Tamandua tetradactyla: one gene and its partners. The protein of the gene in region 1 interacts with the protein of each later gene in a pairwise test. Links are inferred from orthologs where the notes say so. Each region holds a gene or a part of one and is shown on either strand. Other genes may lie near its edges. The genes, in order: ZNF496, ZNF446 and PGBD1.

The links.
Region 2: the proteins of ZNF496 (region 1) and ZNF446 interact in binary tests that used the Homo sapiens proteins (3 or more experiments, as listed by UniProt). The two-hybrid records come from large-scale screens. The link is inferred for Tamandua tetradactyla from reciprocal best matches to the Homo sapiens genes ZNF496 and ZNF446.
Region 3: the proteins of ZNF496 (region 1) and PGBD1 interact in binary tests that used the Homo sapiens proteins (3 or more experiments, as listed by UniProt). The two-hybrid records come from large-scale screens. The link is inferred for Tamandua tetradactyla from reciprocal best matches to the Homo sapiens genes ZNF496 and PGBD1.

What each region holds. Positions count from the first base shown.
Region 1 is NC_135346.1:61,784,736-61,792,281, reverse strand, and holds the start of ZNF496 (zinc finger protein 496), read left to right. Parts: upstream 1-4,460; 5' UTR 4,461-4,671; intron 4,672-4,875; 5' UTR 4,876-5,097; intron 5,098-7,546. UniProt on the Homo sapiens protein: DNA-binding transcription factor that can both act as an activator and a repressor.
Region 2 is NC_135342.1:176,443-184,528, reverse strand, and holds the start of ZNF446 (zinc finger protein 446), read left to right. Parts: upstream 1-5,086; 5' UTR 5,087-5,166; intron 5,167-6,192; 5' UTR 6,193-6,232; coding exon 6,233-6,574; intron 6,575-6,651; coding exon 6,652-6,844; intron 6,845-7,055; coding exon 7,056-7,150; intron 7,151-7,931; coding exon 7,932-8,016; intron 8,017-8,086. Other genes in the region: uncharacterized protein LOC143658493, read left to right, coding at 1-1,197. UniProt on the Homo sapiens protein: May be involved in transcriptional regulation.
Region 3 is NC_135331.1:194,888,197-194,896,170, reverse strand, and holds the start of PGBD1 (piggyBac transposable element-derived protein 1), read left to right. Parts: upstream 1-4,959; 5' UTR 4,960-5,027; coding exon of another isoform or gene 5,028-5,042; intron 5,043-5,737; coding exon of another isoform or gene 5,738-5,855; intron 5,856-7,866; coding exon of another isoform or gene 7,867-7,974. Other genes in the region: ZSCAN26 (zinc finger and SCAN domain-containing protein 26), read left to right, coding at 5,028-5,042, 5,738-5,855, 7,867-7,974.

The DNA of each region.
Region 1 (7,546 bases):
AAGCCAAAGGACCACTTCCCAGCTGACAGAGGTGTTCCAGAAACCATCAGCCTTCTGACTCAAGAAAGGTTTACTCTGGATGCCTTAATTTGAACATTTTTATGGGTTTAGAACTGTAAATTTGTAACATAATAATAAATCCCCTTTATTAAAGCCAATACATTTCTGGTATATTGCATTCCGGCACACACTTGCAAACTAAAACTGTGCACTTCACTATATACAGTTCACTTTCAATATTATGCATAATATGTTATTTCCTTTGCTACATTCAAATCACATTTTCACTCTGTGAAATAAGCCTCACACTTTCCTCTCCAGCTCTGCGCACTGCTCCCACCAGCACCATGCTCTCCTCCCTCTTGGCTGAGGATCTTCCTGGAGCCTAGACACACACAGGAAAAGCTAGCACAGATTCCCACTGTCCCACCATCGCACTTCCTACTGACATGCCTTGGTCCCCAGTCTTTGCCCTTCCTGCTTCTCCCTCCACGGCAGCACTTCCACATGGGCTCTGGACCCCATCTCCTCCACCGGCTCCAGCTCCTGTTCTTGCCCATCCCCTCCCTCATCCTGGTCACGCACTGAAACTTCTTCCATTTTTAAGACGAAACCCCACTTCCCTTAGCTACTTGTCTCTGCCCCACTCGCAATACTTCCTCACCTCTTCTTTCTCTCCAAAACTCTCTGCAGAACCAGTCACCCCACTGCATTCCCTCCACTCACAGGGCCTCTGCTCGCAAATGCCATGACCAGGTTTCTCTCATCTAATTTGATCTCACAGCAGCATTTAACATCCTTGACACCTCCTTTACCTTGAAACACACTTGCTTCTCTGGGATTCCAAGGCAGCACATTCCCCTAGTGTCCCTCTACCTCACTCTGCCTGGTGTTTCAATATTGCTGTTTACCAGGATATAGTCCTTGGGCTGCTTCTCTACTTGGCATTCATTCAAGATCAGGGCCCCACAGTCAATCCCAGGAGTCAATTCTAGCTATGTGCTGTGACTCCCAGATTTCCACCGCCAGCTTCAGCTTTCTCCCGAGAGTCATCACTATTTAGGTATTGGCATCTCAAATCAACAAGTTCAAAACCAACCATGGTTCGCAACTCCTTCCAGAACCATTTTTTCTAACAACCCAAACTGAAAGATGACTCCTCCATCTATCCAAACCCAAAATATAGATCCACTTTTCACTCCTCTAACACCTTACATTAACCATCCAGGAAATCTTCTCGGCCCTGTGGAATCCAGCTACTGCTCATTAACTCCATCTCCATCTCTACCAGCCAACTCTTTAGTTACCACTACCTCTTACCTGGATTTCTGCAATGGCTTTTAATGGGGCACCTGCTTCCACTCTGGTTCCTCCAATCTGACCCCACAGTGATCGTGTTACGATGAAAATCAAATCAGGGCATGCCTCTACCTGAAACCTTCCGAGTGTAAACTCCAATCACCTCCACGGTCCTCTGTGCTGGCTATTTCAGCCTCAATGCCCTCATGCCATTCTTTGACATTGCTGAGCAAACTCCTTCTCCCCAGCCTTTTCACATGCCGTTCCCTCCACTGGCATGTTCTTCCTGCACACACCGGCAAGATTTGCCTTCCACTCAACTTTGCTCTCTGTTCAAATGTCATCTCATCACAGGTGCCCTACCTAACCTCTCAGCAATTTTTTCATAGTACTTATCCCAAATGACATTATATTGCATAGTCATTTATTCATTATCTGATTCCCCTTCCCATTTCTTAAATCTTGAAGTTAGGATCTTTCTTCTATTATGGTGTGTCTCTGAGGATGAAACATCACTGTCACACAGTAAATATTTCACAAAAATATGCAAACTCAACAACATAAAGCCAAATACAGATATAAATTTGATGGTGGCTGAGAGTGTTTGAGCAGGTTTTATGTGGGGGGTATTCCTATCTTTACCTGTGGTATCTGCTTCAACCACATTTAGCACAGAGGAAGACACCTTCCCATAGCCTTTAGTACCCCACCCTGAGCTCTCCGATGTCCCTCTCCCCTCTCATTGGCTGCTCTGCTCTGCCCACCTCAGGGTCTTTGCCTTCCTGTCTCTGTGGCCTCTACTTGGGATCCTGTTAACACAGCTATGACCTTGATAAACACCCTCACCTCAAAAGTCACCTTTCCAGAGATGCCTGCCTTGACCTCATACATCACATGGTTAGACTGGTATCAGGAAGGACATCCCAAGGGCCTAGAGATCACCTCCCAATAGCTGAGGTTAAAGGCCAACCTCGCTTTGGATTAAATTCTTTACTGCAGAGTACTCAATACATGTCTGTTGAACGAATGAATGAACTTTCCCAGCCCCCCAATAAGGTAGATAGCATCATTCCTATTTTCCAGACAAGGAAACCAAGTGACATAAAAGTTTAACAGGTCTGGCATCACCCAGTTAGAAGTGGCAAGTCACCCAGGACTCAGACTCTTAACCACCCTGCTGAGCTAAATAATTAGAAATGCAAAGTAAGGGTGTATTCTGTACTACAAAGGGTTAACACTGAGGGGGTCACCTGCCTAGAGAGGTATTAGTTCAGGGAAGAAACTGGACTGGGCAGTGGGGACTGATACTGTGCTGCACCAACAATCTCTGGGCCCTGCACTTTCTCTGCCTTTGTCCTGCAGAGAGCAGAGCCATGCGTGCCCAAGTCCCAAACACTGGTAAGCTGGTTCCCTGGCTGTCACAGGGTTGGGACTAGGTAAGGCAGGTAGGTTCGGCCTTCACTGATGACAGCTGTGTATTCCTGGTTCCTCCCTGGATCTCTCCTGCTGAAGAAGAGAAGTAGGAGAAAGGAGCTGTGCCTGGCTGAAGCTCCTCTGAGAGCAGTGTGCCTGAATACTGCAAAAGCTGAGGCCAGTTAAATCAGAAACGTGCCTTTCTTACTGGTTTTCTCCTGTTCCAGGTAAGATAAGATAAGTGACTCTGTCCACTTTTGGCTGTCCTTTTGGGGACTCTTCATGAACAAGAGCTTCATTTCTTCGATTTAGTCCATCTGCTGTTAAAGCCACAGAATCTGGGCATTTGACAAATGGTAGCTGGCAGTAACTGTTGATTAGGACGCCTGTGTTGTAGAGGAAGAGACAGACGGAGGCCTCCTGAAGCAAGGACACCAGGAGAGCAGCACTGCTGACGGACCCGGTTCTGGCCTGTCAAATTCATGCTCCCTAAACCTTCTTGGCCAGACCACCTTCTTTTGGGGGACAACTTTTATTCTCCTTGCCCTTGAAACAGGGTCAGAAAGAAAACGAAACCACGGCAATCCAGTCTGCTTGTGGCAGCTGGAGGATTTTCTGTTGTATCTTCTCCTACACTGCAATTTCACTGCAGGATGATGGTGAAAGAGAAGGGGAGGTGGTTTCCCATCTGCCTGGGAATCGGACCTTCTCAGGCCCTTGGGCAAAGCTTTCTCCAGAGCACTCCCAAGACTGGGAAATTAGGAAGACACCTCAGAGCCCTTATGTTATATTTCACCTGCGCAGGTTGGGGGCAAACAACTCTGAATAAAGCTGGAAGCTCTAAGCCCTGTTCACCCCTCACCAAAGATGACTTTGGATGGAGCCCCTTAATCTTTGCGTCCTCCTCAGTTGAAACATCCCGAACCCTCACTATTAAGCAGTGACTGAGCACCCCGACCACCCATTCTGGGCCGATAACATGGCAGCCCCTCTGTCCACACCACGTGTCGTTCTAATGCTCAGAAGGACGATTTGGTGGGTATTCCTGAACTGTGAAACCCCGGAAACGTAAAAATCTCAGTAATCGGTGTCACCCCGAGAAAGGCTGAGACCTCGGGCTTCCCTACAGCGTGGGACTATGGGCAGCAGAGAGGGTATCTGATCTGCTCCACTCCTTTCCTCGTGGGCTGCTGCCGACTAGGCTTTTAAGGGACATTTTAACCGGGAGGTGGGTTGGGCCTGCCTCGGTGGGTAAGGGAAGAAGTAGCTGAAGCGCGTCAGGAAAGCGCCGAGGGCGATTCAGAAATGGGGCCGCCCAAGGAGCCGCGGAGCTCCTCCCTGCGCTCCCCGTCCAGCTCTTCCCAATTCGGTGTGGAGCCGCTGCTCCGGGGTCGGTTCTTGGCGACGCGCCGGCGTCCCCTTAGGGAACTGCACGGGGCAAAATGGGGGAGGCAGATAAGAACCTAGACCTTCCTGGATCCGAAGCTTTCCCGGCGCGGCGGTAAGACGGCACCACACCAGCCCCCCCGGGCCGCGGCGCTCGACCCCACCGCGCCGCCCCTCGCCGCGCCCTCCGCGCCTCCCGCCTCCCGCCCTTCCAGCGCGCACCACACCCCCGGGGCTGCGCCCGCGGTAGGCCCGGCGGCGCGCGGCGCGCCCTGGGTCCCGCGCAGGACAAAGCCCCCGGCCGGGGCGCGGAGGCCCGGGGCCCGCGCGGGGCGGGGCGGGGCGGGGCGGGCCCGGGGCCGGGGGTGTCGGATGTCACCCCCGGCGCACACCTCGGCCGGGGGGCGGGGGAGCGAACCACTGAGATGCGGAGACCTCCCCCGTCCTAGAGCGGAGCAGGAAGTGTCCCAGGGGAGGGAGCCGGAGGGCTCCGGCCTTTCCTTTCCTCCGCGTCCGGCGGGCTCCGGCAGCCGCCAGGCCTGTGCCGCCCGCGAACGGGGACGCGCCGCCGCGGTGAGTGCCGGCCGCGCGGACCTGGCCCGGGGTCTCTGCGTCCCGCCCCGCTCGGCGCCCGCGCGGCTCGGCCCCTTCCGCGCGCCCGGCCCCGGGTCCCAGCCGCGCAAGCACCGCCTCCCATCCCGGAGCGGGTGTCCGGGCGTCTGCGGGCGGGGAGGGACTCTAAATCTACTGGTTTTTATTTTTTATTTTCTTCCCCAGGCGTCTCCATTTCCTCCCAGTCCTTCCCTCCCAGACGGAGAGGCGGCTTTCTGGACGTGCAGGAGACGGAGTCGGGGAAGGAGTCGGGGCCCCTGCGGAGAATCCGCCTCCGGAAGGACGCCGAGGAGCCTGGGCTGGGAGGATGAGGAGCTGCTGCCTTGGACTTTCACCGCAGCGGGAAGGATTCGAGTTAGACGCTGGGAAGGCGTTGCAGGCTGTAAGGTGAGAGTCCTGGAGCCGGTTGCAGCTGCGGGTGTGCATGAGGAATTGTGTGTGTGTGTGTAGGTGATGTATATGTGTGTGGGCGCGCGCGCTCTCCAGCGCCGGAGGATGTGTGTGGGTTTGTGAGACTGTGTGTGTGCTAGGGAGGATGCGTGTTGCAGAGGTGTGTGTGAGTGTGTATGGGTGTGTGAGGAAAAAATGTGTCTGTCTGAGAATGGGATGTAAGGCTTTCACCTTTCTCGGGCCCCAGATGCCCTCCCTTTTCTGTTCTGCTAATCCAGGTCTGGTCCTCCTCCAAGAGCTGTTTTAAACATGCCTGTTCAGGAACCCTTCCCTGATTAACTAGTTCATTCATCAGGCATTTGCTGTTGAGTCTCCTGTGAGCCAGGTGCCAGAGTGACAGAGAAGAACGCCACTGCCAGGCGATCCACAGGCTACCCAAAGGGCAGCTCTTCAGGGCCTGGGAGCTGAAGGTGGGACTGGTCCCCCCAACCTGCCAGAGTAGGGGCCGACCTGAGTGCCCGAGGGAATTGTGGGAAAGAGAGGGCCACTTCGGGGCCCTACAGGTTGGTGATGGCTGAGCTCAGGGAAGGTGGAGACCAGACTGGATTCCAGACACCAGAGCAAACTGAAGGGAGTCTAGGAGTTGGGTAAGCTGATGAAGCAGCTGGCCAGAGACCTTCAGACCCCTCTTTTCCAATTCATGCTTGTTTATTTGTTTCAGACATTTTCTATTGCAAAATATATATACGAAACAGCAAAATTTCAAAGTATATTGTAACATGTAGTTATAGAACAGATTTCAGAGTTTGGTATGGGTTACAGTTCCACAATTTTAGGTTTTTACTTTTAGCTGCTCTTAGACTCTGGAAACTAAAAGAAATATCAATCTAATGATTCAGAAGTCATACTCATTTGTTAAATTTTACCTTCTCTGTTATAACTCCTCTTTCTCCCAATATTTAGGGGTATTTGGACTCTCCCCTTTCTGTTTCATGTTGAAAATGGGTATCAGTGATCTGGGAGAGTGGAATGGAACTAATTGATATTCTTGATGAGGCTGGCCCTTCTGGATTTCAGGACTTATCTGGCCTAGGAACCCATTTGGAGGTTGTAGGCTTTTGGAAACTTTTGTAGATCTCACATAAAGCCCTAGATGTTCTTTAGAGTTAACGGGAATGGTTTTCATTAGGGATTGGCAAACCATGGTAGTTAGCAATGTCTAGCTAAAGCTAGCATAAGAGTAGCCTCTAGAATAGCCTCTTGACTCTATTTGAGCGCTCTTAACTACTAATAGCTTATTTTGTTACATTTCCCCCTTTTGGTCAGAAAGGTATTATTAATTCCACAGTGCCAGGATCAGGCTATCTCTGGGAGTCATGTCCCACATTACCACGGAGACTTTTACAACCTGGATATCATGTCCCACATAGTGGGAGGGCGATGATTTTACTTGTGGAGTTGGGCCTAAAGAGAGAGAGGCCACATCTGAGCAACAAAAGAGGTTTTCTGGAAGCAACTCTTAGGCATTGCTATAGGTAGACTAAGCTCTACTACAGAAATAAGCTTCACAAAAGCAAACCTCAGCATCAAGGGCTTGGCCTATTGATTTGGGAGTCCCTAATATTTGAGGCAGTATAAGGGGTTTCCCTCAATATTTGAGACAGTATAAAAGTTTCCCTCTTGGTAAAACTTAATAGTTCCATATTTTTTCTTCGTTCCTCAAGGGACATTGCCCGACATACTATGGGATGTATCTGGGCATTACATTATGCTATGCAGAATTAGAAGCCCTCATTCCCATTCTGGGCTCCTTGTGTTTGAGTTTGAGCTATCTAGACTGGTTAAGTTAGATTATATGGTACAGAAAATTTAGATTTTGAACAATATAAACCTCTCTTCCTTCACCTAGAATAGGTGAAATTCTGAAATACAGACAGTTGTCCTCCTTACCCCTGGATTCTGATTTACCTTGGTCCTGATTCTTTCGGTTTTGTTCTTATCCCTAATTGAAGCCTGATCTCTTTTTGGTTTCTTTAACAGTTGTTGTATGTAGCAATGCTGACTTTCAGAGCTGCAGAACTCCAACTCCCGAGTCTTAGGTGTCACACAGGTAGCCAGCGTTCTAGGGATATAACAGGTTACATATATAGAGCACAGAATCTCAAATTCTATAAATAATATTAAGATCTCTAGACTAAATGTAACCACTATAAAAGCTTACAGTGTAGGCCCCAGTTTTCTCATAGGTGTTTTGCACCACATAATGTCCCCAAGGTTCATTAACTTTATTCGGTCATATGTATACACCATAGTTTGCCATACTGCTTCTCAGTAAATGTATCCTTCAGCCACTCCATCCATTGGGCATCATATATAATGTCCAAAGTCAACAATCCATCATTTCATACTTATTTTTATGGTAGAGAAACAGGAGTCCAGAGACTTA
Region 2 (8,086 bases), on another chromosome or scaffold:
CCTCTGGGGGCGTCTGAGGGGGCCCGGCCCAGGCAGAAGGCCCACGTCCCCGCTGTGTGGAGTCATGCGCTCGCGGGCCAGCCCGAGCCTGGGCAGCAGCCGCTGGCGCCAGCAGACGAGACCCTCGGGAGAGCCTTCCCCTGCAGCCCGGGCCTTGGGGCTGTGCGTGCCGAGGGCGCTGAGGGTTCCAGGGCGCTTCCCCCCGGGGCAACTTGGCACGAGCCTCAGGCTCTCCCCGCCGGCCATGCGGCCGGGGACGAGCAGGGCGAGGCAGCCCCCGCGGGTCCGGACCTCCTGCCCGGCGAGAAGCTCTTCGAGTGCAGTGCGTGCCACAAGGTGTTCGTGAAGAGCTCCGACCTCCTCAAGCACCTGCGCACGCACACCGGGGAGCGGCCCTACGAGTGCCCCGAGTGCGGCAAGGCCTTCAGCCAGACGTCGCACCTCACGCAGCACCAGCGCATCCACAGCGGCGAGACGCCCTACGCGTGCCCGGCGTGCGGCAAGGCTTTCCGCCACAGCTCCTCGCTAGTGCGCCACCAGCGCATCCACACGGCCGAGAAGGCGTTCCGCTGCGCCGAGTGCGGCAAGGCTTTCAGCCACGGCTCCAACCTCAGCCAGCACCGCAAGATCCACGCAGGCGGCAGGCCCTACGCTTGCGCGCGCTGTGGCCGCCGCTTCTGCCGCAACTCGCACCTGGTGCAGCACGAGCGCACACACACCGGCGAGAAGCCGTTCTCCTGCGCGCTGTGCGGCGCTGCCTTCAGCCAGGGCTCGTCACTCCTCAAGCACCAGCGCGTGCACACTGGCGAGAAGCCGTTCGCCTGCGCGCAGTGCGGCCGCGCCTTCAGCCACAGCTCCAACCTCACGCAGCACCGGCTGCTGCACACGGGCGAGCGCCCCTTCCGCTGCGCCGACTGCGGCAAGGCCTTCGCCAAGGGCGCCGTGCTGCTCAGCCATCGGCGCATCCACACCGGCGAGAAGCCCTTCGTGTGCACGCAGTGTGGCCGCGCCTTCCGGGAGCGCCCGGGCCTCTTCCATCACCAGCGGACCCACACCGGCGAGAAGCCCGCGCGTCGGTCCCGGGCCAGGGCGCCGCCCAAGACTCCGGCCCCCGCCACTGAGGCTGCGCAGGCAAGGGGTGCGGAGCAGAGCTCCGCCGCAGGCTTGGCCCCGGGCCCGAAGCCCCCCGAGGCCTGACCCCTCCGGACCGAGCCCGTCCTCTGCGGGGCACCACTTGCAGCGTGGAGGCCCCGTCCGTCCTGCATGCTAGCCTGGGACCCCCGGCCCTGGCGCTGACCACATTAGTGGAAGGTGGGGCCAGGGCCTGTGCTTGTGGTTCTCTGCACTGGACAAACAGTCCAGAAGAAGGACTCCTGGGGCCTCAGCAGCGGCCACATCTCTCCCACTCTGCTGTTCCAGGTCAGACTCAGGATCAGCCTTGGCACTCTCACGCCCTGATCGGAGGCGCTGGCGTTGATGCAGGGGAGGTGCTGGAGAGCAGACAGAAACTGGGAGGACTTGCCCCAGTGGGGGACCGCCTCCAGAGACACGCTCCCGACACCCTTCCCCCGGTGAGCCTGGGCACTGAGCCAGGTGGTGGTAGCCCAGTTTGCTTCCTGTGGTCTGCAGCTGCTGTGTCCTAGCTGGGGGGGCCGTAATCTCAGGCAGTGAGTGCTAAGATCGAGAGGGGAGGGGCAAGACTAGGGTTCACAGCTTGGAATGGATATAAGCTGTGATTTTTTGGTGGGCAGTGTTGATGGCTTTGCAGAAATCCAGCTCCAAGGTATGGTCCAGAGTCTAAAGATGCTCCCTTAATAAAGGTTTCTTTATAGCTCTGTGTGGACGATAACGGCCTGACACCAGTTTCACTAGCACAATGCAGACATTAAACCAACATTTGCAGGCCTGCCACTGATATGTGTCATTGTCACAAAGGTTCAGGGGTTCGGCTTCGGGCTAGAGAGGCCCCGGGGCCTGGTCTGCTGCCTACGGAGGGGCTAGGAAGCCTGTGTTCCTTCAGTGGCCATATGGGCCGTGGGGTGGTGGCCCTATCGCCGCCCCTCTCCTGGGAATGAACCATGATTCAGCCCCAGGGCAAGGGAGAGAGTGGTGGGCAGAGAACCGAGGCAGAGCTGCACATTGCTTGGTGCTGATGGAGTGGAGTGTACCTGTGAGGACTGCATAAGGCTGACCCCAGCTCAGTGGTACTCATGACTCATCAGCCCCAAGACTGCAGAACCATCCCTGTCCACAAGGAGCACTCAGCCTGACCCCTACCTGCCAGCCAGGCCAGACCCACCTGCCCCGTGAATCGCAGCCCTTCAAGGAAAGTGGGCCCAGCAGTGGGAGGCACCTGACTCCCCAAGGCTCCGGGAGTCCCTGGCCCACCATCCTGTCTCCCACGCCCTGTCTAAACCTCAGTCTTGCCCACCTCCCACCCCGGTCTGGCCTCCCTCACTGGGCTGGTCCCACCAGCCTCCATCTGCACAGCTGTGAAATCTAGAGGAGCCCCCACCCCTTCTGGGGGCAGAGGCACCTTATAGATCAGAGAGCAGGTCCTAGAGTGAGTCATATGGGAACTTTTCTGTGCCTTGGATGGAAGCTCCTGAAGCCAGGCCTTTGTCCTCAGTCCTCCTTACCCTCTGTCGACATCTGGGCTGGGCTCAGCTGCCCTTTCCTCTCTCCCTACCAGCCACCAACCCCCGAATGTAGAGCTCCTTCCTGTCTCTGCACTTCTGCCTTTGCTGCCCCTTGGCTTACCCAGGTTAAGTCTGTGTCCACTGCCTCAACTCCCAATAGCACCCATGAGCACCCGCCTGCTCTTTCTATCCCACTTGTGCTTCACCTTCATGTCTTGGGTCCTCAGTTGTCCCCCCCATACACACCTACTCTTGTCAGGTTGGGCCCTGACCTGCCAGGGTGGGCCCTCCTTTACCCTGAACAGGCCTTTACTGGGAAAGTGTCCCTGGGCTTTCTGGGTCATGATGGTGGGCTGAACACATGCCTCTCACTCAGCTCAGAAACACCTCTAAAACCACAGAAAAGGGAGTGCTTAAAACACAAGCCCATAAGTTTGAAGATGATGGAGTCAATGGCAATATCATTTTGCAGCTGGAAGCAGGTGGGGGAACTGTCACTGATTTAGAAAAAGCCAAGTACTGAGTTGGCGTTAAGGGGAGTACAGGGAGGTCCCACCAGGCAAAATTCCAGAAGGCTTGTGAACCAGCAGCTCCAGCACCTCAGGAATAGGAGAGGGACTACCAACAAAGAAGACAGGGAGAGCTACTTGAGAAGCAGTTCCATCTCCGGCTCTCTCCCCACCTGGTGGACGTGGAAGATGCATTTCTGAGGAATCTGCATAGTGAAGAGGAGAGATCTCAAGATACTCCTGTTGAGATCCTCCCCCCACCCCCACCCGGGAGAGTTCACCCTGATAACTCCACAGGGAGGCTCAGAGTTAGCAAGTCCCACCCACCCATGGACTCAGCACTTCCCATCCGTGTTTAAGATCACTGCTTTTCACCATAAAGCAAGCAGCCAGGGAGTTCCAGGAATCAGAGGAAGCCAAAACAGACAAATGCAATGTAGGATAGGACAGATAAACCATGGTTCAGCCATTTGATATACAGGTGAAAAAAGGATCCCATCTCATAGTCAGATTTTAATTATGCACTGAGATAAACTAGTTTTAGTCCCCGAAATAAATCAGTCTCTCACCAAAAGTTTGAATGGAAATCTCCATCTTTCTCTTTGCAGGGCTGATGTCCAGAGACATCAGAGACTGTGAGGGATAATCACATGACCGGGGTGCTCCTTTTCTGCCGTTACAGACAATACAACCTTGATCACCTTGGTAATTCTGCAAGTTTAGTTTAGTTTAATTTTAGTTTTTAAATAACTAATGTGTTCTCATTTTGGAAGTCAATCTCCCTAGAGTCAGAGAAGCTCATCTTGGCAAATAAGTGTCTTTTCTTTTCCAAACGCATTTGTCTCTAAGTCTTCCCTTAATTGCAAAGAGCCTGTGTTTCCTACAGTGTCGTATTCACCGAAAATAAGTTAGACTTTAAATGTTTATTAAAAATGTATAAATAGAGAAACAAAAACAAAAAGTAAAGCATCCCAATCTTAACAGGGGCAAATTGAGCGGTAAGATTAACTTTAAACCTTTCCCCATTTTCCAAAGTCAGTGAAACAATGTTGTTTTTACTATTTTGTTTTCTATTACTTACTTATTTCTTATTATTAGGTTTTTGTTTGTTTGTTTGCTTTGCATGGGCAGGCACCAGGAATCAAACCAGAGTCTCCAGCATGGCAAGCGAGAATCCTACCAGTGAACCACCGTTGCACCGTCCCGTTTCCACTATGATTTTGGAATGTCATGTATTTGTTAATGTCCTGAAAGGTCGTGGCCTACGTGAGGGCCAAGGTAGTCGCTGAAGCAGTGCATGGGCGCCCAACCGAGTTCCCTCACATCCATGTGGCACTCCGCGGGGGGGCGAATAAAGAAGCCCAGCGCCTCCTCGCCCTACGCTGGGGCGGAGAACCTCCCGGGGCGACCGAGAAACACCGCGGCCAGGCCGGTCTCCGCAAGCCCGCTCCACCTGCCCCGCGACCCACATGCCCCCGAAGCTGCGCTGCAGCCAGCTCGGGCTGTCGGGAACGCACGGGACGCTTTTCGTTTCCGCGGAAACCGCGGTTGCCAAGGAGACGCTAGGGCGGGGCAGGAGGAGCGCCGGCTCTGATTGGGCAAGCGTCAGACGCGCTTGCCAATCGGCGCCGGGCCCGTCTGGCACGTGCGCAGCGTCCCAAAGCAGCGTCCGGGTCGGTGTTGGTGAGGCCCGGGGCTCGGGGGCGCGGGGAGAGAGCCGCCGGAGAGGGATGGGACTCCCAAACTTTGTGACCTGCAGGCCCCGCGTGCACGCGCCTCTCAAGCACGAGCGGGCTCTAGAAATTCGCGCCCACCGGCCAAGGCCAGGCCTCTGCGTTCTACCTGAGGCTCATAGGAAATGTAGTTCGAAGGGGGCGGGGCCTTCGAGCAGGCGCGGGATTGGCCAGAGCGCTGTCGCCATGGCAACGGGCGGGAAGGGCGGTGCGCTTGCGTAGAACGGGTGGTCGGGCAGTCCCGGGTCCGGGAAGTGGCGGTGGAGCGCCGGCCCCCCGGCTGAGGTGAGCACGGGCTGGCTGGGCGGCGCGGCCGGCCCACTCCCCCCGGGACTCTTGGCTCGCGCGCTCCGGAGCTCCCTCTTGGGTCGCGTCGCGCCCTTTTCCAGGCCGTCCCTCCTCAGCCCTGGGCCCCTCTCCGTGACGACCAACCCCCTCCCCGGTGCTTCGGGCGCCCTCGGGAGCAGAGCCCCCGGAAAGGCCGGGCTGGGGGCTCCTCTGGCTCATCTCTCCGCCCCCGTCCGGAGTTGGGCGAGGGGAGAGTTTTTTAAAACTCAGCTTAAAAACTGCACCCATCCCTCCTTTTAGAGCAGAGCAAAGACTTGGTGGGGGTGGTTCCCGCCCGCAAGCCCTCTCTGCAAGTCCGGGTGCTGGGGCTGACCCAACCCCACGCCAAGCGTGTGGCTCTGATTTGTTTTGCTTTTGCGTTTTCACACGCACAGGCCTTGCGAGTCACCCACAGTTCACGTGTTTACAAGAACGGCGTCCCGTCGTCTCCCTGGGGGCACCTGACTCTCCAGCCCGTGTTCCATATTCTGGCTGGACATTCAGCCCCTCAGGATGCCCCGTTTGGGTTGGCATCTCCGGGCGCCACTCCCACCGCTGCCCTGCCGGCCCGCACATGCCACCTACTGCCCCCTCCAGCGCCCAGTCACTCTGGATCTGCCTGTCCCTCATTCTCTTGCCCAAATATTCACTCTCCTCCCTGTTCTGCCCAACACCTTCTGAGGCTCCTCAGCCCAATCTCCAAGGCCGGTGGGGACTCTCCTTGCTCACCTGCGGGCCATTATTTCCCAACAGTCCATGGTTGTACTGAAGCGTGTGCAATTTCCTGGAAGCTCCCTGGACACCTTATCCTGGACATACGGCCCCAAGGCTTTATTTTTTCTCTGATTCCCATGACCCCCTCCCGTCCACGAAGCCTCCCAGGCCTTACCTGTGGCCCCAGGGTCCTCTTTCTGTCTTAGTCTCAGATCTCTGGGCTTGGCCGGGAGCCCATTGCCTGGCATCCTGACCCTTCCCCTTCTGCAGGTCCCACCTGGTGACTCCAAGAGAGACCCGCAGCACAGAAATGCCATCCCCCTTGGGTCCCCTGCGCCTGTCCCCAGTGGACCCCATGGCCACCCTGGAGGAGCGCGAGGCCGCGCGCCTGCAGTTCCGACACTTCCGCTACCAGGCAGCGGCAGGTCCCCGCGAGGCCCTGGCCCAGCTGCGCGAGTTGTGCCGCAAGTGGCTGCGGCCCGAAGCGCACTCCAAGGAGCAGATGCTGGAGCTGCTGGTGCTGGAGCAGTTCCTGGGCGCACTGCCCCGCGAGATCCAGGCCTGGGTGCGGGAGCAGCACCCAGACAGCCCCGAGGAGGCCACGGCTCTGGTAGAGGGGCTGCAGCATGACCCAGGGCAGCTGCTGGGCTGGGTGAGTGTGGCCAGTGCTAGTTTTTTGGAGGGACAGACCGAGGTCAGGGGCCCTGTGACTCAGTTCTTCTTCCACAGATCACAGCTCATGTGCTGGGCCTGGAGGTGCTCCCAGCAGCCCAGAAGACAGAGGAACCCCTGGGGAGCCCCCACCCCTCAGGGATGGTGAAGCCTGCTGAGGCAGCCCCCCGGGAGGGGACACAGGGCACAGGGGAGAAGCCCAGCCAGCTCGGAGTGAAGGAGGAGCCAGATGCCAACCGGCAGGACATGGGTGAGGGAGCCCTGCGCAGGGGCTGGGGCCTCCTGGATGGAACGGAGTAGGGGTCCTGGGGAGGGACATAGGGTTGCTGCCCACCATGTGGCTGGCACAGGCAGTGCCTTTTGCCTGGCCGTTGGGGAAGGCTGGAGTAGTAGCATCAACACCTGCCCTCCCCTGCGCTGTCATGGGCAGTCCCTACCCCTCTGCCCAACTTGCTCCCTAGGACCTCCAGGGCCCCCGCTTCCAGTCCGGCCTTCTGAGGGATGTGTTGGAAGCGAAGAGCCAGCCTCTGGGTCTTGTCTCCCACCCAGGATTCAGGTGAGTAGCCCTGGGGGAGGTTCAGAGGTCCCAGGTAGGAGGAGTATGTCCCTGGTGGCCGCTCCACATCCTCCCAATTCTCCTGGACCCCAGGCCAGCAGCTTTTGGTTCTTCGCTGCCTGGGAGTTGGGTCACTGTCAGCAGGGACCGCTGTCAGCAGGCCCTTGGGGACAGGGAGGCAGGCCAGCAGCCTCTCTTCCATGGCAAAGGATTTCAGCACAGGCAACAGAAACTGGTTAGAGTAGCTGGAACTCCAGTGGTTGAGGCGGGAGGCTCTCAGGTGCCTGGCGCTGTGCTGGCATCGAGGGGGGTGAGGTGACTGACCCGGTTGGGAATTCTGCATGGCAAGCACAGAGATGCCACCCTTCCTGGGACATTCTCACAGCCGGCCCTTTCCTGGGGGCTTCTTTAAGTCTAAACAGCCATAGCAGCCCCCAGGCCCAGGAGCGCTTGCCACCTGCAGAGAGGCTTGGAGGGAGGTGGCGAGTTGCTGGGGCCTGGGGGGGTCCTGCATGTCCTCTGACTTGCCCCTGTGTGTGACTGTTGAGGCTGGAGTGGCAGGAGGGGTGGGTGGGGCTCGCCACATTGTCCCTGCTGCCTGGGGCGCTGGCGGTCCCCAGGGCTGGTCTAGGGGTCTTCGGTAGAACATGGGGCGAGTGTAGCCAGGCGGGGAGGTAGGACCACGTGTCTGGGTTCCAGCCTTAGCCCTCTTGCCCCCCGGAGAGCCCAGCGCGGTGTCCAGGTTGGGATGGGCTGGCTGTGAGCAGGGTGCCTTCCGCAGAAGGAGTGGAGCCAGTTGGATGCCTCGCAGAAGGAGCTGTACTGGGACGCGATGCTGGAGAAGTACGGGACGGTGGTTTCCCTGGGTGAGGACCCCCAGGCCGTGTCTCCCACCTCACCGCCTCATCCTGGCCCGGCAGTCCCCGCCTGTCTGCA
Region 3 (7,974 bases), on another chromosome or scaffold:
GCGCTTCATATTGTCATTCAGTTCCCTGATCCCCTGCTCAAGTTTTTCCATTCTTTTCCCTATAGTTTCTGTTTCTTTTTGGAATTCAGATGTTCCATCCTCCAGTTCACTAATTGTAGCTTCTGTCTCTTTAGATCTACCATTGTAGGTATCCATTGTTTTTTCCATTTTTTCTTCTTTGTCCTTCACTCCCATAAGTTCTGTGATTTGTTTTTTCAGATTTTCTATTTCTTCTTTTTGTTCAGCCCATGTCTTCTTCATGTCCTCCCTCAATTTATTGATTTTGTTTTTGAAGAGTTTTTCCATTTCTGTTCGTATATTCAGCATTAGTTGTCTCAGCTCCTGTATCTCATTTGAACTATTGGTTTGTTCCTTTGACTGGGCCATATCTTCAATTTTCCGAGCGTCATCCATTATTTTCTGCTGGTGTCTGGGCATTTGATCAGATTTCCCTGGGTGTGGGACCCAGCTGGTTGAAAGGTTTTTCTGTGAAATCTCTGGGCTCTGTTTTTCTTTTCCTGCCCAGTAGGTGGCGCTCGTGGCGCTCGTCTGTCTGCGGGCCCACCAGTAAAAGATGCCGTGGCTCCTTTAACTTGCCAATCCGAATCTCGGAGTCGGCCCGGGAAACCGCGCGTGGAGTGGGGGGGTCGCCGGCCGCCGCAGCTTGGGGGAGTGCCGGTCCAAATTGCCCAGCTGGCCCGAGACGCCAAGCGTGGCGGGAGGGCCCCGCTATCCAACGTTCCCAGTCAGACCGGGGAGCCACGTGTGTGGAGGGGACCCCAGTCGCCAGCCGCCCCGGCCGGGAAAACGCGCGCCCCTCGGGTATCTCACCACAGCGGATTCTCCCTGCCCATTCAGCCGTTCCAGAATAGGGTATGCTGTCTTTTTGGTCTCTGTTGTGGCTCCGGGAGCTGTTTCCTATTGTTTCTGTTTCTTAAGTTGCTTTTCTGGAGGAGGAACTAAGACCCGCGCCTCTTACTAAGCTGCCATCTTCTCCGTCTGATAACCTTATTAATTACACTTCTTTCCCCCTGTTGGTCAGAATGGCATTGTTGATCCCATGGTACCAGGGCCAGGCTCATCCCAGGGAGTCTCTCCCATGCTGCCAGGGAGACTTTTCCTCTGGGTTTCATGTCCCACGTAGTGGGAAGGGCAATTATTTCCCTTGCAGACTTAGAGTCAGAGAAGCCACATCTGAGCAACAAAAGAGGTTGTCCGGAAGTAAGTCTTAGGCATGCCTGTAGATAGGCTAAACTTCCCCCCTATACATGTAAGCTTCACAAGAGCAAGCCTCCAGATCAAGGGCTTGGCCTATTGATTTGGATGTCCCTAATGTTTGTCACAGTATTAGATAATTTCCTAATGGTAAAGTTTAATATTTCCATATTTTTTCTCCCTTTCCTCAAGGGACTTTGTCAGTACATTTTGATTATCTGCTTACTGTATTTTAGGATGTATACAGGCATTACATTAAACTATACAGGATTAAAGGCCCTCATTCTTATTCTGGGTTCCCTGTATTTCAGTTGTTCAAGTGAGCTGTCCAGACAGGTTCTTATATTATGTACTACAGAAAAATTTAGGTTCCAGACAAAATAAACCTTTTTTCCTTTGGTGTCAAAGAGTAGGTATGGTTCTAAAATGTAGACAATGTCTTCTTTACCCCTGTATTCTGAATTACCTTAATCCCAATCTGATCAGCTTCATTCTTATCTCTAAATATCAGGTTATATATATATAAATATATATAACATATATAACATATATATATTTATATACATATATAAAATAGCCTCTTAAAATCCAGAAATAACAATTACCACTCTGGACTGAATTTGACTGCTGTAGGAGCTTACAATCTAAATGAGATAATATAATATTTGCTCTTTTGTTTCTGGCTCATTTTGCCTCAAGGTTTTGGTTTTTTTATAAGTCCATTTTTGACAAAAAAAAATTATCAGCTAAGGAGTCTTACTATGTGCAGGTTCGTGAATACATAATAGGATGTATTTTGACTCTGATCAGGCGTAGTCACTAATCAGGTGAGTCCCTCCCTCCTCCAAGTATACACCGATTCAAAGACATGTATCAGCAGTGGGTGGATAATACTTCATTCTTCTTCAGACTCACTCGAGTAGTTATAATCAAGAATGCTAAATCCCCAAGTATCCAAGGGCCTACTCCAAGGGATGGTGGTGGTGCCATTTTCTGAGTTCTTTTTTGTTATGCTGTGTTTGAGAGGCTTTTATAGGGTGTCTAGATACCAAATAACCAGAAGGAAACATGTATCAGGCACTCTTGATAGATCTGGACTGAAAAATAAGGAAATCCTCAGAATAAAGACAGTAATTGAAGTCACAAACACTCCTAACTTCTGGCCTGTCTCTCTCCTTTTGTTCAGTGTCTTACTTCTTGAAAAGAGTAATTTTTGCTCACTCTCCATTTTCTCATTTACCCATGTCAATCTGGCTTTTCTCTCCATTTCTCTACTAAAATTGCTTTCAAAGAAGTCATCAGTGACCTCTGTGATTTTGAATCAAGTGGATAATAAGTCAGGTCTCAGTTTAATTTACTTTCTTATAGCATTTCCCACTCTTGATCATTGCCGTCTTATAAATCCATTTATAAATCAATGAATTCCTATTCTTCACAATTATTATCTCATTTACCTCAAAACATCTCTGTGAAAGAGTGAACCCTGATGTAAACTATGGATTGTAGTTAACAGTATAATAATTTGCATCAGTGGTAACAAAGGTACCACACTAATGCAAAACCATTCTCTCTGTAAAACCTTTTCACCATATTTATACCTGACCACCTTTCACTTTTCTTTTAAGACTTAGAAGGATTCACCTCCAAGCTTTTTCAGATCTGCTGTGAGGAATTAGGTATCTTACCTCTGTGCCTACTAGCATCCTGTGCATACCTTCACAGTAAAACTCAGTGCACTGAATTGCAATTGCTTGTTTCCCTGAGGTGTCCTGAGAAGCAGAGAACTGTTTGAGGCTAGGGGATTGTCTTTCACCTCTGTGTCCCCAGCATCTAAGAGATTCTGGTAGGTAGTAGACAGATTGTAAATGAGATGAGTTATGCAAATCCTTGTGTTCTTTTAGTTAATTCTATTGATTTAGCTTTAGCTCATATATCAATAGTATACAGTCAGTTCTTATTATTTGCAGATTCCATATTTTTGAATTCACCAACTTGCTAAAATATATTTGTAATCCCCAAATCAATATTCACAGTGCTTTTGAAATCACTTGTGGACATGCATAAAGAGTGAAAATATGAGTCACCCTGTACACGTTCCAGCCAAGATCAAGCAAGGTGATGCTTTCCTTGTTCAGTTCTCATACTAAAAACGTTTTTGTTGTGTATTTGGTACTATTTTTTTTGTATTTTTTTAATTTTTGCTTAAAGTGGCCCTGAATGAAAGCTGTCTTATGTCCCTAAGCACAGGAAGGCTGTGATGTACCTTAGAGAAAATACATGTGTTATATGAGCTTTGTTAGGGCATGAATTACAGTGCTGTTGGCCATGAGTTCAATGTTAATGCATCAACAATATATATCAAATAAGGTGTCTTTAAATAGAAGTATGCATAAAACAAGACTATGTGTTATTTGGTTGATGAGAATATGGTGACCAGAGGCTCACAGGAACCTAACTCTGGATTTCCCTTAGGAGAAATGGTTCAGTTTTTACTAATTCTCTGTTCACAACAACTTTATAGACTACAACTACTGCAAATAATGAGAATTAACTGTATTTATTTTGTGTCTTTGTGTCTTTCCCCCCAACTTTTTGAGAAATTTCAAATTTACAGAAAAGTTGACGTACTACGAGTAGTACCTATTTACCTTCTCATTTAGCAGTAGTAGTGAATTTCCTGCTATATTTGTGCACTCTCTCCACACCAACCCACTCATACTTTTTTCCTGAAACATTTGAAGATAAGTTTTAGCATGCATTCTCCTGAGAATAAAAATATTCTCGTATTTACTACAAAACTGTTATCCCTCAGAAAAGACTAAAAAGAAGTTGGCAAACTTTTTCTTTAAAAGGCCAGACAGTAAATTTTTTTTGTATTTGCATGTCATAGAATTTCTGCACCTACTTAACTTTGCCATTGCAGTTCAAAAGCAGACATAGATAGTATATAAACAAATGGGTATAGCTTGTGCTTCAGTAAGACCTTATGCTCAACAAGATTTGAGCTGTTTTTGACTTGCTGGACCATAGTTTGCCTACCCCAAATCATAATATTCAAATTTCCCTAATTTATAAAATATATATATATATATATATATATATATTTCACACATTGATTGCATTTAGTTTTCTCTGTAATTCTAGACCTGTACCCTCTCCATACCTTTTCTTTATTTTTGTGGAATTGTTGGTTTTGAACAGTCCATGCCTCTTGTAGAAAGGGCTACATTCTGGATTAATTCAAAAGCTTCCTCACTATTAAATTCATGTCAAGCCTTTTAGAAAAATTGCTACATAGGTAATGAGGCACATGATGTCTGATTGTCTTGCTACTTGTAATTTCCTAAGTTTGATCATTTGGCTAAGTTTGTGACTGCCAGATAATTCCAGTTTTTCCTTTTGTAACTAGTAAGAATCCATGTGGTGATACTTTGATACTGCAGGAATGTCCTGGACCCCTACTCCATTCACATAGTGGTTTTAACAATCATTTGTGGTACTTCACTAGATGATTTACGGCTATGAAATGATGAGTTTGTATATCTATTATTCCTTCTATATTAGCTGGCAATCTTCTATAAGAGAGTTTTGTCATTTTTGTATGTGCCTTTTTTTAGGAATGGTTGTTTAGAAGAGATTAAAAAGGATAGTAGCTTTTGGAAATGCATCAACCCAAGAAGGGAATATTGCTGTTGTTATTACTACTGTTATTACTGTTTCTGTAACTCTTATTGTTACATGTTTAGGACTATCCCTGAGGAGACAATCCAAAGAAAATTCTCTAAAACGGAGAAAGCAGTTTAAAGCTGGAGATGGCAACAGTAGAGGTGAGTGCTCGCCCCCTGGCTCCCCAGAATCTGAAGGAGGAGGGGCTTTGGGTAGTGAGGGAGGATCACTGCTCTGCTTGGGAACAGGAATTCAGGCTGCAAAGAAAAAGCAAAGACCTTGGTCAGGAGATGTTGTGCAAACAATTCAGGCAGTTCCACTATGAAGAGACCTCAGGACCTCGACAGGCGCTGAGCTGGCTCCAGGAGCTCCGCCTTCTGGCTGTGGCCTGAGATCCCAGCAAGGAGCAGATCCTGGAGCTGCTGGTGCTGGAGCCGTCCCTAAGCATCCTGCCCGAGGAGCTGTGGGCCCAGGTGTGAGAGCATCACCCAGCGAACGGGGAGGATGCAGGCACTGTACTGAAAGGTTTGGAGCCAGAGCTTAGAGAAGCAGGACAAGAGGTGGTAAAGGTCAGGTTTGTTCTTTCACATAAAAGCAGGAAGTGAGACCTCTGACCAGTGGGAGAATTGCTAAACTTGTTTGTTTAGTTTCTTTCCAGTTTGGCTGTTCATTTCTGGGGGTCTCACCTCAACCTTATCTGTTCTCTGCTGTGAGGAGGCTGAATTGAATAATTTCCAGATTCCTCATCTCCTTTTCTTTGCTCCTTTAGGTTTGTCTTTGTTCTTTTTTCCAACATTGAAGTGTTTTTCTAAAGAGCAGTTCCCTCTTAAGCCCTCCTGTACCTAATTGTCCCTAGGACCCAGACCAGACAAAGAAACAGAAAATACCTGTGGAGGAGATGGCCCCTGTGAGAGCAATGCAGGAGCAGCAGGTCCAGCCGAAGTGTGAAGTTCAAAGGCCTGAAAAAGAGAAGGGTGAGAAATGGAGAGCATCTTCTGTTGTGTGAGATGTGGTGGCCATTGCGTTCCCCACTTGAGGCCGATTTAGCACCCTTGATACTGTGTTTGGAATCAGGTTTATTGAGGTATAGTTTACATACAGGAAATTTCACCCTTTTTAAGGGTACAGGTCAGTGAGTTATCACAAATGTGAAATGATAAGTCATATGATCATGACTGGAGCAGATTTGGAAATCAGATAGGGAAGTAGCTTGCTTTTCTTCCTTTTACTATAGAGATAATTTTTCTATAGTATTTCCTTTTGCAATAGAGAGGATAGAGAAAGTAGTGTTAGTTTCTCACAGAAGGCAAACAATCTCAGCCACAGGCTATATTATTCATTTTCTTATTATCTCCTTAAAATTATTATAAGTGGCTACTGTCTTTTATTTCTAAATGTCATCAGGATTTTTTTTCTCTACTATATTTTCTTTGTCACTAAAATTCCTCTATCCAATTTGTATTCCTTAAATTTTTCTTTTCTTCCTTCTATTCTGATAGAGCCCCACTTCTCTTTTTATTTTAGTGTCATCATAGTACTCCCATTGATGTTAAACTTAACCACCATAATTTAAACACAAATTCAGTAAGGTGGCTCCCATGTTTAAAATCTTTCAGTGCTGGGTAATGTTATTTTCTCTACTTTTTTTGGATGTTGGAAAAATTCTATACTAGAAAGTAAAAAACAAAAGTAAGGGGAAAAAAACACCACCTTCAGAGACTCCCCGTTGCCACTGACCAAGGCCTCACATAGCATGGGCCGCTATTGGCTCCCTACCCAGCCTTGTGTCACTAGGGTGACCAGTTTGTCAAGACTGTTAACGTCCTGGGAAACCCCTCAGTTCACACATGCTCAAACTGTGTTCCCATCATGCTGAGGTTCATTCCATTTCCCATGTGCTTCCTATCTCTTCTGAGTCATTGCTGCCTTGTTTCTTTTGTCTGGAACACTTTTTCCTCACTCTTCCTGGCTAATACATAGTCATTCTTCAGGACCTATCTTCGATATCGTTTCCTCTGTCTTTCCTTAAGATCCTCAAGGCTGAGTTAGTTTTTCCACCTATGTTCCTAGAGCCCCAAGATTTCTCCTGTGGTAGAACTGATTATATTATATTATAGTTGCTGGTTTGCTTTCCCCCCTCCCCAGGCATTACTTCCTCTTTTCTCCCAGCAGGGATTTTGTTTTGTTTCCTGAGTCAGTCCCTGGCCTAGAGTAGACACTCAGTAAATGTCTATTCAGTAAATGGCTGGTATTATATATAAAACTGTCCTTTACCTACTAGCTACTTCCCTATTTAATTTCCACGTCTGCTTCAAGGGTTACCTTCTGTGAGCCTTCTGAGTAAAGTAGCTGAAAGAGATGGACTTAACTTTTCTGAATAATCTTGCAGGAATTTATGCCATGTAATGATAGGTATGTATTTTAAATATGAAGAATTAATGTGATGACACTATATTCTTGAAAATATTCTGTATCTTTTGGATCTTATTGAATATTGTATTTTATGTCCAAAGTTCAGGTTAGTTTTTAGTTTCAGAGTTCGCTTCCCTTTTTGTTTTTATTCCCTCTCCTTAACTCATTCTTACCCTCATGAGGCAACTTCATTCTCAGTGATAAAATTAGTCTACATTTCTTCATTTTCAGTTAAAGGGTTATCCCTTTGCCATACCTTTCTTATGAATTCCAGTCCTTAACTAAGCTAGCTTTTCTACTCTCCTTGTGACAAACCATTTTCAAAAATGTACATCTGTACCCTTTAAGATGGTTTGTTTGTTTGCTAGCTTATGTATGTGCATGCATGTATCACAAAATAAAAGGCAACCTCTGTTAATTTCTTATGTATCTTATATAGTTTATACAGATGCAAGCATACATATTTTTCACTTTTCAAACATGTTTGATTTTAAACTTTCCCTCCTAGTTTATAGATTCCTTTCCCTAAGCCTAAATAAAACATGTGATTGGTGGTATATCTTAATATTTCAGATAAGGAGATGAGGACTGAGAATAGAAGGCTGGTTGTAGAGACAGACTTTTGTGGATCAGTGAAATCATCTGGGAAATTATCTGAGCCCATAGAAGCTCATTATGAGG